Linked DNA regions of Xenopus tropicalis. The protein of the gene in region 1 interacts with the protein of each later gene in a pairwise test. Links are inferred from orthologs where the notes say so. Each region holds a gene or a part of one and is shown on either strand. Other genes may lie near its edges. The genes, in order: lmna, tmpo, tor1aip1 and fam161a.

Region 1 (4,028 bases):
TGGGAGTTGCAGTTCAAGGCTTTCAATCGCTCCAATGTGCTGTGTTCTGGGGTAAGCGAACCCGCTGAGGGTTCTGGGAGTTGCAGTTCAAGGCTTTCAATCGCTCCAATGTGCTGTGTTCAGGGGTAAGCGAACCCGCTGAGGGTTCTGGGAGTTGCAGTTCAAGGCTTTCAATCGCTCCAATGTGCTGTGTTCAGGGGTAAGCGAACCCGCTGAGGGTTCCTGGGAGTTGCAGTTCAAGGCTTTCAATCGCTCCAATGTGCTGTGTTCAGGGGTAAGCGAACCCGCTGAGGGTTCTGGGAGTTGCAGTTCAAGGCTTTCAATCGCTCCAATGTGCTGTGTTCTGGGGTAAGCGAACCCGCTGAGGGTTCTGGGAGTTGCGGTTCAAGGCTTTTAATTGTTCCAATCTGCTGTGTTTAGGGGTAAGCGAACCCGCTGAGGCTGATGGGATGTGTAGTTCTGTAATGGCTGGAAGTGGCTTGGGTCAGTGCTGGAGGGTTGCAGGGAGTTATATTGGTGACTGATATTGGCGAACCCGCTGAGGGTTCTGGGAGTTGCAGTTTAAGGCTTTCCATTGCTCCAATCTGCTGTGTTCTGGGGTAAGCAAACCCGCTGAGGGTTCTGGGAGTTGCAGTTCAAGGCTTTCAATCGCTCCAATGTGCTGGGTTCTGGGGTAAGCGAACCCGCTGAGGGTTCTGGGAGTTGCGGTTCAAGGCTTTCAATTGTTCCAATCTGCTGTGTTTAGGGGTAAGCGAACCCGCTGAGGCTGATGGGATGTGTAGTTCTGTAATGGCTGGAAGTGGCTTGGGTCAGTGCTGGAGGGTTGCAGGGAGTTATATTGGTGACTGATATTGGCGAACCAGCTGAGGGTTCTGGGAGTTGCAGTTCAAGGCTTTTAGTCGCTCCAATGTGCTGTGTTCAGGGGTAAGCGAACCCGCTGGGGCTGATGGGATGTGTAGTTCTGTAATGGCTTGGGTCAGAGCCGGAGGGTTGCAGGGAGTTATATTGACTGACAGCTCTGCTGTGTCCCCAGATGCCTCACGTCAAGCAGCCGGTTGGGGGGGGGGGGGGACAGGGCCATGATTTGAGTTTTCCTTTCCCTTTAGGCTCCTCCCCTGGCCCCGCCCAGGGGCTGGCAGTTGCGAGTGGATGTAACTGGGAGCCACTGGGCACAGCAGACTGTCAGAGGCGGAGAAGGAAAGCAGATCCCTGCGCACTGACAGCCCCCCGTGTATTCGCCAAGAGCCATGGAGACCCCCGGGCAGAAGCGGGCGACCCGCAGCACCCACACCCCACTCTCCCCCACCCGCATCACCCGCCTGCAGGAGAAGGAAGACCTGCAGGAACTCAACGACCGATTGGCCGTCTACATCGACAAGGTGCGCTCCTTGGAGTCGGAGAACGCCGGGCTGCGCCTGCGCATCACTGAGTCCGAAGAGGTGGTCAGTCGCGAGGTGTCGGGCATCAAGGGGGCCTACGAGGCGGAACTGGCGGACGCCCGCAAAACTCTCGACTCGGTGGCCAAGGAGAGGGCTCGCCTGCAGCTGGAGCTCAGCAAGATCCGCGAGGAGCACAAGGAGCTGAAAGCGAGGTAGGACCCGGGGGTGCCAGGACTGTGTGCCAGCGGGATGGGGTGGGGGTCGGTTACACTGGGCTCCTTGGCACCGGGATGGAAATGTGAGCCCAGCCCATAGGAGTCATAGGATGTGTAGGAATGCCCACGCCTGGGGCAAACCTGACTCATGCCAGGGCTACTGGGAGAGGATTGGTGTTATCAGACCTGCCTGTAGGGGGCGCCGCTTGTCTTCAGCAGCAGCGACTCCATTGCATCCCACAGGGTGTCTATTCCTTATTAGTCCCACCGGCCCTGCAGGGAGGCAGTTCCCTGTATCTACTCCCCTTACTTTATTAGTCCCACCACCCCTGCTGGGAGGTAGTTCCCTGTATCTATGCCCCTTACTGTATTAGTCCCACCACCCCTGCTGGGAGGCAGTTCCCTGTATCTACCCCCCTTACTGTATTAGTCCCACCACCCCTGCTGGGAGGCAGTTCCCTGTATCTACCCCCCTTACTGTATTAGTCCCACCGGCCCTGCTGGGAGGCAGTTCCCTGTATCTATGCCCCTTACTGTATCAGTCCCACCGGCCCTGCTGGGAGGCAGTTCCCTGTATCTATGCCCCTTTCTGTAAAGTAGCACTTCCCTATGTTCCCTTTCAGCCTCCCCCCCTATTCCTTTACTGTATCAGTCCCACCGGCCCTGCTGGGAGGCTGTTCCCTGTATCTATGCCCCTTACTGTATCAGTCCCACCGGCCCTACTGGGAGGCAGTTTCCTGTATCTATGCCCCTTACTGTATCAGTCCCACCGGCCCTGCTGGGAGGCAGTTCCCTGTATCTATGCCCCTTACTGTATTAGTCCCACCGCCACTGCTGGGAGGCTGTTCCCTGTATCTACTCCCCTTTCTGTAAAGTAGCACTTCCTTATGTTCCCCCCCAGTCCTTTACTGTCCCACCGGCCCTGCTGGGAGGCAGTTCCCTGTATCTACCCCAGTGGGTGTTTTTACATTGATGTATGAGCAGCGCGCGCCACGTGCCGAGTATCTCACACCAGTGAGCTCATTCCAATATAAATACTCCCCGTGCCGCGTGGTGTTGTCCCTACTGTGCTGGGAGTCTGTGCCGGGGAGTCACCGGCTAAAATAGGAAACAAAGTTATTTGTGCGGTGCCCACCCACCATTGGGAGACCCTGTGCCCCCACAACTCAGAGGGTAAGGGTGGCAGCTGTGCGTTTAGGGCTCTCTTTGGATTGGTTCATTGGTACCCGGGGCAGTTGCAGGTTCTATAAATGCCCCTTACCCTGACTCTGCCCCAAGTGGTGCCCCGGCATTGGTGCCACCGTATCTGTATATTCCATATGGGCATTGGTGCCACCGTATCTGTATATTCCATATGGGCATTGGTGCCACCGTATCTGTATATTCCATATGGGCATTGGTGCCACCGTATCTATATATTCCATATGGGCATTGGTGCCACCTTATCTATATATTCCATATGGGCATTGGTGCCACCGTATCTATATATTCCATATGGGCATTGGTGCCACCGTATCTATATATTCCATATGGGCATTGGTGCCACCGTATCTATATATTCCATATGGGCATTGGTGCCACCGTATCTATATATTCCATATGGGCATTGGTGCCACCGTATCTATACCATATGGGCATTGGTGCCACCGTATCTGTATATTCCATATGGGCATTGGTGCCACTAGAGTAGGGTGTGCCACTTTGTGCCCAGCCTGTTTATCCCTTCCTGCCATGCCTATCCATGCCACCCTGCCCATAGGGGCATACCCACAATGCCACGGGAAACCCCTGTGCCCCATTAAGTGCCACACAAAACAATATTTGGCAGCCATTTTTTTTTATTTTTGTTGGCGCAAGTTGCCAGCTCTTTGCTGCTGAGGATGCTGGGAGTTGCAGTCACACAGTCACAGACTGGCATTCCCTTATATGGGCTTGTGTTTTACTCACATCCCTGGAAAAACAAGACTTTGCTCTCCCCGAGCCAAGTGGCGGGAGGCTTTGCCAGCGTTGCGGGCGGCAGCGGCTGATTTTCCAGCAGAAACATGGATTTCCTTGTACAGTCGCTTCCCAGGATCTGCCTTAAATTAATTACCCCCCCCCCCAGCAATTAGCAGACAAGTTGCGTGGGGCCCAGGGCATGCTGGGAAAGGAAGCGCCTGATTATGTGATTATGTGACGCAGGGCTGGCTCACTTGCAGTCCTGCCCAATAGGCCACAATAGCACGGCGCCCCCCGGGGGATGAATGGAGAGACTGTTGCACCCAGTATCTCCCAGGGCCCTCGCTGGACTCAACTGGGGGGGAATGGGTCCCAGTGGATTCTGGGAGTTGTAGTTAATTAGCATGCATTAAAACGATAATAGTAATATTCTAGACTATATTCAGGGTTACCCCCCCCCCACTCCCTGGGGCATTAGTCTGTCTTTCACCCCCCC
Region 2 (3,563 bases), on another chromosome or scaffold:
ACACCCAAACAAGCAAAGGCCAGTGAATTGGCTGATTCAATCCCGTGTGGCCCTACCATAAAAAGTTTAAAAACATTTTTTTTTATTTTTAGAAAGGTTTATGCTGTGTAATTCAAAATACATTTAAGATTAGTAAAATTCATTAGCAGCGGTCCTTTCACATCTTTGGATTTAATTAAATTTATTTGCCCAGATGTTGCCTCATGTCCTGATGCTTAGGATGGTGTGTTCCAGTACACCCTAAGCTTATCTATAATTAAAGTGAATTACCCTAAGAAATTGTACATTAGGTAAGATAATTGGTCCTCATTCATTCAATTACTGTTATAAGCAAAAGATTTATCGAGGGGCATGTCTTTTTGCGCACCCAGACAAGACAGTTTAGAGTTGAACACATTGAACCATTCTAACTATACAGTTTTTGATTTTATCTGTTATGTCTGCCATATTAAACATTCTCTGAATATTTTTAGTATCATATTACTTTTGAATGTTCGAATAGAATATGAAAATATTATTGATGCAGGTTTTCTTTATCATGTGCAGAATTGACTTTCTTATATTTAGGTGGAGGAAGACACTGATCTCATACCAGAATTAAATGTCAAACGAAGTAACAGATCTCCTCCTAAGGAGTTTACCCCTGATGCTGAAGAACTATCTACTTATCTCCCTGTAAAAAATATGATTTTCTAAACAGCTTGAGTCACTGGATAGCCATATTTAATCTCTAAATATTTATTGCACAGTTTCTTGTACTTTTATGGACCTTTCTATTGGTTCTAAAGCACTTTCACTGATTCGCTATTTCATAATAGAGGTCATTAAGCACTTCTGTGGGTTTAGGGGTTTTTATGTTTGTTTTTTGGTCTTTTTTTCACCTCTGCATGTGCCAGACAGTTGTGGCCACTGAAGTTTTGAGTACAGGGTTTATTTAATTCACATTTAATATTTAATTAGATCGTGTCTGAAGATATAGTTACCGAGGCAGCATGGACATCTGGACCTTCAAAAAGTGGACCTGTGCAGACTGTTTATAAGGAGTCAACAAAATTATCCCGGCGAACCCCAAGAAAAAGGGTGATGACCGTTATTATATTGAAGTCTCTAGCCTTGGAGATAGTGACCTGGCACTAGTTTATACTAATTCCAGTTTTTTTTTTTTCCCAATTAATAGGTGGTAGCTCCTGATCCAGTCCCTTTTGATGATGCAGATCTTGCAGAGGTCCCTTCTATATCTGAAACAGTAGTACCTGCAAGCAACCAAATATTAGTAAATATATATTTTACTTTTGTAGCTAACTGTGAGCATTGTTTTTAGCGATTAACAGGCGTTCTGCTAATGCTGTGTAATTTAATAATTTTGAAAACGTAGAATTTTCTGATGAGCTGGAGGAAACATACACTTCCATCTAAAGCTCTTAACATTTTTTTTCTTCTTTTTATGTAGACTTATGCTGAAAATAAGCACTTTGAATCTCGTAAGGTTGTTGATCACGTGCCTGAAAGTTTGAAGCATGCAGAGACATTGCTGTCAGTGAGCGAATTCTCAGAACTGAGCAGAAGAACCCCTAAGAAACAGCTGATCAGTGAAAAAGTAAATACTTATAAGTTTAGATTAGCTTTTCTTGTTCCATATAGCAATATAGCATAAGGTCGCTTATATTTATGAAACTGTGCTATAAAAAAGGCGCCTTTTTTCGGATTCCTCTTTATATTGTGGTTCAATTTATCAGGGGACTTAATTTTGCAAAATCTCATGTCATTCATTTTAAAGCATGCTGTTTTCTTTTAACATGTGTTTATACAGTTGCAGCATTTGAACGTAACACGTGAAACTGAATCCGCTTCTTCTCAAATCAGGTTGATTGATGTTGATAGTATTGGTTATGCAAACCCCAATGATCTTCTTAACACAGCTTTAATAGAGGTGATGGCTTAAATATGCCCCCCCTTATAGTTTTCCTTTGGTCTGGCAATGTATAGATAAGTGACCCTAAGGATTTTCTTCATATTGAAGGAAACGAAAAACATCGATGATGACTCTTTGGAAACTCCAAAAAAGACAAAGCAGTTGAAAATAACGAAGTTTGTAACACCTGTAAAAAAACAGGAAAGAGGGTTTTTGGTTTTTTGGGGTTTTTTTTTGTGCACGTGGTGAAACTTTTTATTTAGCCACTTTCTTATATGGTGATCTGTGGTTTTTCTTCATAAATTTTGTGCCATTTGCATTTTAACTAGATTTTTCTTTTATTCTCTTTTTAGCTTGTAGAAAAGACTTTTGAGGAGAGAAGAACTGAAAGAGATATTCTTAAGGAAATGTTTCCAAATGAAATTCACACTCCAACTGGAATCAGGTTGTTATAATAATGTTTACTAATACACTAATGCTAAAATTCATTTTTCATGGTTATTTGACAATGCAAATTGCTTTTCTAAAAAAAAGTATACTAGGATTCTAGAACATACCAATTCAGAAACTGTGCAGTGAAGCCGGTCTTTAAATGGATCTTAACTGGCTTTCCTGAGTCTCTATACATCCTGTACCCTTCTTAATTCAGTGCCAGATGGCACCAACAAATACCCTCATATACAAACTTGCTGCAAATCACAAAATGTAATCAACATTTATTAGACCTATGACATTTCCATAACAAGCTGACAAGCTGTTGTAAACGGTTGTTGTTGGACCTTTTTGCTGGCACTTGTCACTGGCAACATTACTTAGTGTCATGATGAGCAGCTTGCCACAACTCCTAGTTGCTCTGTTTGAGCTTATATCAAGACTTCAGAGCAAGTTTGTTGTACCACATGAGCATTTGCATCCTTTGTTATAGGTGAGCCATAACTCAAAATGCATTTGCATATCAATAACTTGCGCTGGAGGCCTTTTCCTGACAAACTGTCAAATTTGGTGACTCCTAGCTGGCAAACAACAATTTAGCCAAGTAGGATGAAGTTTTCGTATGTTTTCGAGATTTTGTTTTAATAAAAGTTGTTCTAGTCCTTTAAATTATTACACATAGTTTTTGTATACTGTCCTTTATCTTGACTGTCAACTGTTTCACACTATTTTTCTCACTGACGTTTTTTTTCTCCCATTTTTCTTGTTTAGTGCCAGCTGTCGCAGGCCAATTAAAGGAGCCGCAGGGCGACCATTAAATTCCACAGAATACAAAATAGATGAAACCTATACATCAAAATATGTTTCAAATGTTTCAAAGTACACACCAGCAGTGGAGGTGAAGGCAGAAAAAGTGAAACCTGGACGGTCAATACCTGTATGGATAAAGATTTTGATGTTTGTCCTCTTGGCTGTGTTTTGCTTTTTAGTCTATCAAGCTATGGAAACAAATGAAGGAATAGCATTTTCTAAATTCCTTCTTGGCATCACAGAATCAAACAAGACTGAAACTGATTTTTAAGTTTATTTTTGAGGGGGGGGATTGAATTACAGTTTATATTTTTAACAACTCAAGGAATAAGAAAACCTGCCATTTGTCCCATACTGTCTGAAAATATCACCGCACTTCAAACTTTTGTACATTAATAAAGATGGTACA
Region 3 (4,085 bases), on another chromosome or scaffold:
CAGCGACTTGCTCTGGCTCCCCTGTAGCTTCCTTCAGCCCCCCCCCCCCAGCGAATTCCTCTGGCTCCCCTGTGGCTTCCTCCAGCCCCCCAGCAACTTCCTCCAGCCCCCCCCCCCCAGAGACTTCCTCTGGCTCCACTGCGGCTTCCTCCAACACCCCACCCCCAGTGACTTCCTCTGGTTCCCTGGGGCTTCCTCCAGCCCCACCCCCAGCGACTTCCTCTAGCTCCCCTGTGGCTTCCTCCAACACCCCAGCCCCCCCAGAGACTTCCTCTGGCTCCCCTGCGGCTTCCTCCAACACCCCAGCCCCCCCAGAGACTTCCTCTGGCTCCCCTGTGGCTTCCTCCAACACCCCAGCCCCCCCAGCGACTTCCTCTGGCTCCACTGCGGCTTCCTCCAACACCCCACCCCCAGTGACTTCCTCTGGTTCCCTGGGGCTTCCTCCAGCCCCACCCCCAGCGACTTCCTCTAGCTCCCCTGCGCTTTCCTCCAGCCCCTCCCCCAGCGACTTCCTCTGGCTCCCCTGTGGCTTCCTCCAGCCCCCCCAGCGACTTCCTCTGGCTCCCCTGCGGCTGCCTCCAACACCCCAGCGACTTCCTTTGGCTCCCCTTCAGCTTTCTCCAGCCCCCCCCCAGCAACTTGCTCTGGCTCCCCTGTAGCTTCCTTCAGCCCCCCCCCCCAGCGAATTCCTCTGGCTCCCCTGTGGCTTCCTCCAGCCCCCCCAGCAACTTCCTCCAGCCCCCCCCCCCAGAGACTTCCTCTGGCTCCACTGCGGCTTCCTCCAACACCCCACCCCCAGTGACTTCCTCTGGTTCCCTGGGGCTTCCTCCAGCCCCACCCCCAGCGACTTCCTCTAGCTCCCCTGTGGCTTCCTCCAACACCCCAGCCCCCCCAGAGACTTCCTCTGGCTCCCCTGCGGCTTCCTCCAACACCCCAGCCCCCCCAGAGACTTCCTCTGGCTCCCCTGCGGCTTCCTCCAACACCCCAGCCCCCCCAGCGACTTCCTCTGGCTCCACTTCGGCTTCCTCCAACACCCCACCCCCAGTGACTTCCTCTGGTTCCCTGGGGCTTCCTCCAGCCCCACCCCCAGCGACTTCCTCTAGCTCCCCTGTGGCTTCCTCCAACACCCCAGCCCCCCCAGAGACTTCCTCTGGCTCCCCTGCGGCTTCCTCCAACACCCCAGCCCCCCCAGAGACTTCCTCTGGCTCCCCTGCGGCTTCCTCCAACACCCCAGCCCCCTCAGAAACTTCCTCTGACTCCCCTGCGGCTTCCTCCAGCTACACCCACGTAACGGAGACATCATTACGTCTTCACGTTTTATGACGTCACTTGCGGCCGTTCGCAACTAGGAACTAGCAGCTACCCTCTTCCTGCATCGGCTTCGCTAAACGTTGTGGTGCGTCAGTCATAGTTTACCGTCGGAAACGTGGGTTAAGTTGGAGTGGTTCCGCATCAAGTAAAGTGATTTTATCGTGGTCAACGGTGTCATAGCTAAGGACAGTCGTCAACAATGAGCGTTCACGGAGGTAAAACAACCAACACCGGTAGGTAAGCCAAGCCCCAGACAGGAGAAGATACACTCCCTAAACGCGTTCATAAATTGTATTAGTTGGGTCACGGCAGAGGCCCAGAAGGAGTTCGCTTTATAGAATCGAAAGCGAAAGAAGTTGTCAGCCCGCGCTTTCAATCCATTTTAAATGCTTTTGTATGAAGCGATTATGAATGTATTATATCTGCTTTTTACGATCTGATCTTTCTAAGACTGTGTATATGAGAATTAGTAGATACCGAGGATCATATACACAGTCTTAATAATTTATTAATTCGCTATTTGTCCTATTTATCACTGTAGGGGGGGGGGGGCAGGTTCAGCTGTAAACGTTATAGTCTTTGCTGGGGCCCTGTCAAATCAATATTTATTTCTATATAGTTTGCTTTTATCTGGGGGTATGTCAGAGGTGGCTCCTGTTACACCTGCAAGTAGCCCCAGAAGCAAAAGTGAAATTCTGATGTTAGCCCTGAATCCTAGCACTTTTTGAAGGATTTCTATTTGACAGTATTTAGGACAAACCAATGCGGTTTTTACATTTTACTTAAATTTGTTTAAGCAAATTAGGGGTTGCATTCTCTTCTGCATACAGATTATTCTTTTGTGGAGGATTCAGTATTTAACCAACCCAAAAAATTGTGGATTTGGGGCAACAAGACGCACCAGCCTTTTTTAATGAATTCGTTTCATCACCAGAGTTGTGGGCTAATAAAAACAGAACCTATAGAGGAAGCAGGGGGCGCAGACTGCAGTGTCTGTTTCATCTATAGTTGTCAGAAATCCCCCAATCCCCAGCTGCTATCTTATCTACCCTGGGGAGCAAGGGTAGTGTGCTGAGCCCTTCCGAAGATTCTTTGCTGGGGGCCAAGCACAAATTTGTTACGCCACTGTCTCTTAATTTTAGATAAGATACAGAAATATATAAAACAGAAATGTTATTCTTCTATTACTGTTTATGTCTTTTCTCTAGATGCTTATGTCTCAAGAAATGATGAGGAAGAAGCACCTTTTTTAGGTAATGCAGATTTCAGGATCTAAATATGTCTGCCTCATCGCGGTGACGTGACACGAGAACGCAGCAAGGAGCGGGAGGACACAGTGGGGAGATGGGAGAGGGAGTGGGGGAGCCGGGAGAGGGAGAATGTTAGAGCAGGCCATAGTTTTAGGACGCAGATGGGAGCAGGCAGTGAGAGTGGGCCATAGTTTGAGGACTCAGCAGGGAGCTGGAGCAGGCTGTAGTTTGTGGGGTGGGTTATAGACTAGAGACTATATTCCAGCCCCCCAAAAGTCTGAGGGACCATGAACTGGCCCCTGTTTAAAAGTTTGAGGACCCCTGTTTTATAGCATTGAGAGTGCCATGTGTGTCTATTCCTGCCCTATGGTTAGATATCTTTAGGGATGTGTCATGCAGCATGACACCAGGTTCTTTTTGACTTAAAAGTGCATCACACTTCATCCCTACAATGATCACCACATTCTAAGTCCCTATATTGGGAACTGCCCCATATATTTTATTTTTTAGAATTCATGAATTCTGAGAAATGTTTTAGGAGAGTATTAGATAATTTTGGGTTAGATAAATCTCCCTGTAAGTGAAATGTTATAATTATGCTGGTTCTCCCTTTCTCTCCTATTTGCAGCAGACATGAAGTTGACAAGAAATTCAATCAGGTCTTCCAATCGAGGTAAAATATTTGGTCACAAAATTTTTTTTATTGCTTCTGGCTATACAAAATGAGGTAGAACTCTGCTTTTGATTTTATTTTTAAAGCTTATAGTAAGGTTCCTATCAATCCTTATATGAATCCCTAATGAACTGACTTTCAGAATGCTGGTCCCTGGTAAACTATGATATGGTAAACATTCCCCACCTGATGGCCTTAACCTTTAACATTCCCTGTTGGATTGGGTTTTCACTTGTCGACTTTGAGCAGCACAAATCTGATCTGCCTGCACTTAGCCACAGAATAATAGAAACTTTTTTGTAGCAGCTACTTTGGGCTGTGTTCTTTTTTACCTGCAGCGCTGAGCAATCTAATCTTCCTGCACTACTAATTGCTGTAGGCAGAGAAGCACAGATTGGTAGCTGCTGTGTCAAGCTTTTTATTACTTGCTAGATCAGGACAGGTAAATTGGATCAATCATTATAGTGTATTGTTGCTTAGCAAGGGTAAATGAAATGCAAGATGCGGGATGTGCTGGAGGAAATAAATGAGTAGACAGAGAAGAGAAAAAAAAAGTAGACAAGCATAACCTTGGATAATGAGGGGAAAAGAATTAGAAGTTAATAATGAGTAACAAGCTAAGGAAATCAAAATGGAGAAGTAATGGAAAGGAGAAAAGATAAACAGGTAGGAGAAATAATAAAAATATAGGAAAGCACAGCAGGAAAGGGGGAGGAAAGAAGAGAACAGATGCAGAGATAAAATATATGTAGAAGTAAAAAGAGTACAAAGAAAGGTAAAAGAATGGAAAAGTGGTTGCAAGCAGGGCTGGACCAGACAGGAGCCTCTCCTGCCTACCCCTAGTCCACTCG
Region 4 (4,294 bases), on another chromosome or scaffold:
ATAAACTTAATTTGCAGAAGCATCTACAGATTCTTCTCTGCTCATTTCCATTGCCCCTCTAACAATAGAACTAAGCAGAAAAAAAGAATGTAAATTGCAAAAGTGCTCGGAAGGATATTCTGAATGATTTTACATTAAAGGAGACATATTGGATAAAGGGGAAAAACGCTAATTTTGTAGGCAATTATGAATAATATATGGTGCTGATTTCACTTTGTGCTAAAAATTAATCCTCTCTGTAACAATGGCCTCTTTATTGGAGCTCCCTATAGAAATGAAGAGTGGGCGTGTCCCAACAGTCCCTGCCAGAAGCACAGTAGGAGGAGGAGAGCCAATCACAGCCCTGCACTCACACAAGCACAGACAGGCTTCAGTTCCCTATCAGGTCAGCCTAGCTGCTGATTGGTTCCTATCCTACAGTGCAGTTTATGGAGGGCCGCTGGCACCCCCTGCACATCCAAAGAATTCAGCCAGCAGGAAGTGGAACAGATGGGCGGGGCTAGTGGGGTTTGGGGGAATTTCTCAATAAATCAGTCTGAAATACAACTTTTTAAAGCACATTCCTTCTATGTCTAGAGGAGTATAATTCACTGGTACATTCATTATTTTTATAAGATATGTCTCCTTTAAGGTATGTGTAACCTTAATTTGTTTGTGTAAAATAACATAAATATACATGAAAGGTACACACATGCCATAGGAGTATAGTCAAGTGCTATTTATAATGCTCCTAAATTATGATCAAGCACCCAAAAAGTAATTTACAGAAAATAAAGGATGCTATTCAGTAAGATTACAGTTCCCACAATGCTTTGAAATGTATTACAACTTTAATAGTTTAACCTTAATGCCAGGAAGGTCTAGCGTAAAAAAAGAAGAGATCACCCTAAATTCAACAATGAGCCTTTGTAAGTAAGTAGGCACCTCCTATGGTCACCCTTATGAGCCTTACCCACCCCTTCTCTGGCTCTTGGGCACACAAATTAAAAACCACGGGCATATGAAAAGCTATCTGAAGGCAAATAAACTAATAACTGCACTTTGTGCATTATTCCGCCCCTACCGGGATTATTATCCGCTCTCTTCCAAATCCGTGCGGAGGGGGCTGTAGTGCTCTCGCCTCAGCCAATCAGAGCGCAGGGTGGGCACTATCGCTAGAGCGCCCTATAGGAAAGCGGAGCTAGAGTATTGTGTTGGCAGCCGGCGCTTTAGATGTCGCCAAATGTATATGTGTGGGCTGAAGTTTGGAGCTGGTTATGCTCTGCCTTTGGGAGTACCCTAAGCACTCGCATTTCCACCATCATTAGTCTCATTCTGCGGCAGATAAACTAAAGCTGGATGCAAAACTCTGGAAGCCTGCGCCAGTTGCTGCTCTGAAAACAGCGCGCTCTAGGTTATTGTCTCCTTTCTCTCATGCCATGTGGCGTGGCTTCAGTTTGTGATCGCTTTAGAGGTTGGTCTCTCGCAGACTCCGTAGCGTCGGCGGTTGCCAGGCAGCGGCCAAAGCTGAAGGTTCCGTGCCAATATGGCGCAGGCTCACAAGGAATCAGTGCTCGCTGCCGCCTGTGTGAGGACCCCTGTGAACCCCTACACCAAAGCACCGCTTGCCCTGTACGAACGGGAGTTGGGGGAAAGGCAACAACAACGAACTGCCTCTGTCTCACCCCAGAGACTTCCAAGAACATCAATGGTATGGATACTATTCTTACAGCTGGAATATTAAAGCTCATAGAAACCTAAAGATAGCAAACTTCTTAACAATTTATCTCTGAGCTAAACTTATATATACAAATATATTTATTACAAATGTCCCATTGTGTTAAAGTTATTTGTAAGTAGAACTTCTTTTGATAGCTTCATCTGTCAAACTGCTGGTTGTAACTAGTGAAACAATGTAGCAGAGGGCAGCTGATTCACAGACAGGGCTAGGAACAGGCAAGTGGCTGCTGCTACAGTGCTTCATTAGACAGATCTAAATGGCAATTACATTTACAGTTCACTTTAAAATATGAATATACATAAAAAGTTACCTATAGGTCATGTTGATGGTGTCTCGCTGACAGGTTTGCTTTTGTAAGTAATTGTTACTTGAAGTTCCTACACCTGACTGTTTTGCCAACCTGACTGTCCCTTCCCAGCCTGTCAGTTACAGCTTCTAATGCTAACAGACAAATATGGCTGCCCCCACTTAGAGGAACCGAGGATCAGACAGGTAATGTAAACGCATCAGGCAAATATTTTTATGGCAAAATTCTAAAGTTCTTGCAAAGACAATGTTATTATAGATGTAAAAAAAAAGATTTACTTTCTGGTGTCAGTATCTCTTTAAGACCATTGAAAAATGTTTATGAATTTCTGTTGGAAAGTTTCGTAGATTTACGTTTTTTATTAGGCAAACATGGTATTTTGGGGTTTACAGCCTGGTTTGTTCTGCTGTAACTTATAGACAGTAGGCATATGAGTTGGGCACAGGCGGCAAACATTAGAACTCTGTTTGGAACAGAACCTTTGGGTTCCCAAGTGTTGCTGGCCCCACAACTCCTTTGTTATATGTTGAAGAATGGTAGGTAAGCCCAGAACTAGGGGTAGGCAGAAGGGGCATGTGCCTAAGGTGCAATTATAGGGCAGGGCTTTGGAGTTGGTACATATATCCAGTGACTCCTCAGTTTATGGTACTTCAGACTCCAGGTACCCAAATTTGCTTCTGACTCTACAAATCTGACTCCACAGCCCTGGCCAGTCTATGGAGTCTTTACATAAATCCTTCAGCTACTCAGTAGTTGCTTCTGACTCCGACTCCACTTGGGGGGTGCTACTCATTGGGATAATGTTTACAAAAAAGTAACAGAGGCTGCTGACCCTGCTGATGGGAGATGTAGTTAAACAATCGCTGGAGGGCCGCAGGTTTGACATCGCTGTATTACTTAGTTAGCCTGGGCATGGAAGGGCAGCATGCTCTGGGAATTATCTCTAGCCTGTCATCTGGTGTTTATTTTATAAGCCTATTCGGCACCGGTTAATTAACAGATGGGATCATGTGATGCCAGTGCTAATTATACAGAGTGCTATTTGGCACATCAGTTACATTTACATGCTAATAATGGTGAAAAGCTGAACAGTATAAGCTACAATGTAGGGGATCCCGTTTAAAAGAGGATTAGATTGGTAGTTATTTTTAGTGACTATAGAGCATTAGCTGGGAAGCAATTTACTGAATTAAGCAGAGCACTGGCAAACCCGTGATGGTGTTGTCTCAATGTCTATAAAATCTGCAGGGCTGAAAAGAGATCTCATAGTCATTATATCTGGAGAAGGAAAGCGTACAGGGAGTGGGGGAGAGTATGGACCTGTCCCAAAACTTACATTCATGTCACACTTAACACAAGTAAAACATTGACAACTAGTTACGGATGCACCAAATCCAGGATTCGGTTTAGGATTTGGCCAAGATTCAGCCTTTTTCAGCAGGATTCATATTCAGCTGAATCCACGCTCCTGGCCAAACCAAATCTGAATCCTTAAAAACACTTTTTGTCACATAAATACGGAAGTTGAACATTTTTTGCTGCACTCGTTAACCCTTCCGTGTCCTAATTTACATATGCAAATTTGGATTTGGTTCGGTATTTGGACAAATCTTTTACGAAGGGTTCGGGGTTTGGATGAATCCGAAAATAGTGGATCCCTGCAACTAGTATTTTTGTACAATAAAAGAAAATGTAATTTTAAGCAAATATGTTAATGAAAGGTTTTCAGTGGTTTTAAAATTACTTACTATATTTGTGCATTTGACGCACGTTCAGAATGTAATAGAATGAAGAAATGACTGTTGAACTTACAAGAACACACTTACTTGCATCTAAATCAATGCACGTGAATGCAATAAATGGGAAAATAGAAGCAAAAGATGGCAGCTCTGTGCTTTAATAAAAACATTTTTCAAAGATGAGTAGCACCCACAGGAGTCCGTGAGGCTGGTAACAAATTGGCATCTCCACGGTGAATTTGTCTGTGTTGTCCTTTAATCCCTGCCCATTCATTTATTATATTTCTGTTATATGTAGATATAAGCTTATGATGCTCTGTTAAATTTTCCTATATTATAAATTTTTTTTCTTTATACAGTTTATATATATATATAAATATATATCTCAAATTAACCAGTGATGTGCAAGGAAATGACTAATAAACAGAGATAATGGGAGACTGAAACAAGAGATGCAACAGGCCCTGCCCACAAGAGATTACAGGCTATATCTGTTAGCAGTGTAAGCTTATTATGGTGTATGCTGTG

Evidence for each region.
Region 2: the proteins of lmna (region 1) and tmpo interact in a two-hybrid assay, tested with the Homo sapiens proteins (2 studies listed by BioGRID, with this or other methods). The link is inferred for Xenopus tropicalis from reciprocal best matches to the Homo sapiens genes LMNA and TMPO.
Region 3: the proteins of lmna (region 1) and tor1aip1 interact in a two-hybrid assay, tested with the Homo sapiens proteins (2 studies listed by BioGRID). The link is inferred for Xenopus tropicalis from reciprocal best matches to the Homo sapiens genes LMNA and TOR1AIP1.
Region 4: the proteins of lmna (region 1) and fam161a interact in binary tests that used the Homo sapiens proteins (3 or more experiments, as listed by UniProt). The link is inferred for Xenopus tropicalis from reciprocal best matches to the Homo sapiens genes LMNA and FAM161A.

What each region holds. Positions count from the first base shown.
Region 1 is NC_030684.2:142,967,507-142,971,534, reverse strand, and holds the start of lmna (lamin), read left to right. Parts: upstream 1-1,200; 5' UTR 1,201-1,247; coding exon 1,248-1,591; intron 1,592-4,028.
Region 2 is NC_030679.2:51,516,402-51,519,964, forward strand, and holds part of tmpo (thymopoietin), read left to right. Parts: intron 1-567; coding exon of another isoform or gene 568-675; intron 676-960; coding exon 961-1,080; intron 1,081-1,177; coding exon 1,178-1,273; intron 1,274-1,450; coding exon 1,451-1,597; intron 1,598-1,810; coding exon of another isoform or gene 1,811-1,930; intron 1,931-2,020; coding exon of another isoform or gene 2,021-2,113; intron 2,114-2,265; coding exon 2,266-2,357; intron 2,358-3,115; coding exon 3,116-3,425; 3' UTR 3,426-3,563. UniProt on the Homo sapiens protein: May help direct the assembly of the nuclear lamina and thereby help maintain the structural organization of the nuclear envelope. Possible receptor for attachment of lamin filaments to the inner nuclear membrane.
Region 3 is NC_030680.2:101,249,711-101,253,795, reverse strand, and holds the start of tor1aip1 (torsin-1A-interacting protein 1), read left to right. Parts: upstream 1-1,245; 5' UTR 1,246-1,510; coding exon 1,511-1,544; exon of another isoform or gene 1,545-1,548; intron 1,549-1,595; exon of another isoform or gene 1,596-1,705; intron 1,706-2,519; coding exon 2,520-2,564; intron 2,565-3,189; coding exon of another isoform or gene 3,190-3,192; coding exon 3,193-3,234; intron 3,235-4,085. UniProt on the Homo sapiens protein: Required for nuclear membrane integrity. Induces TOR1A and TOR1B ATPase activity and is required for their location on the nuclear membrane. Binds to A- and B-type lamins. Possible role in membrane attachment and assembly of the nuclear lamina.
Region 4 is NC_030681.2:33,455,161-33,459,454, forward strand, and holds the start of fam161a (protein FAM161A), read left to right. Parts: upstream 1-1,494; 5' UTR 1,495-1,525; coding exon 1,526-1,690; intron 1,691-4,294. UniProt on the Homo sapiens protein: Involved in ciliogenesis.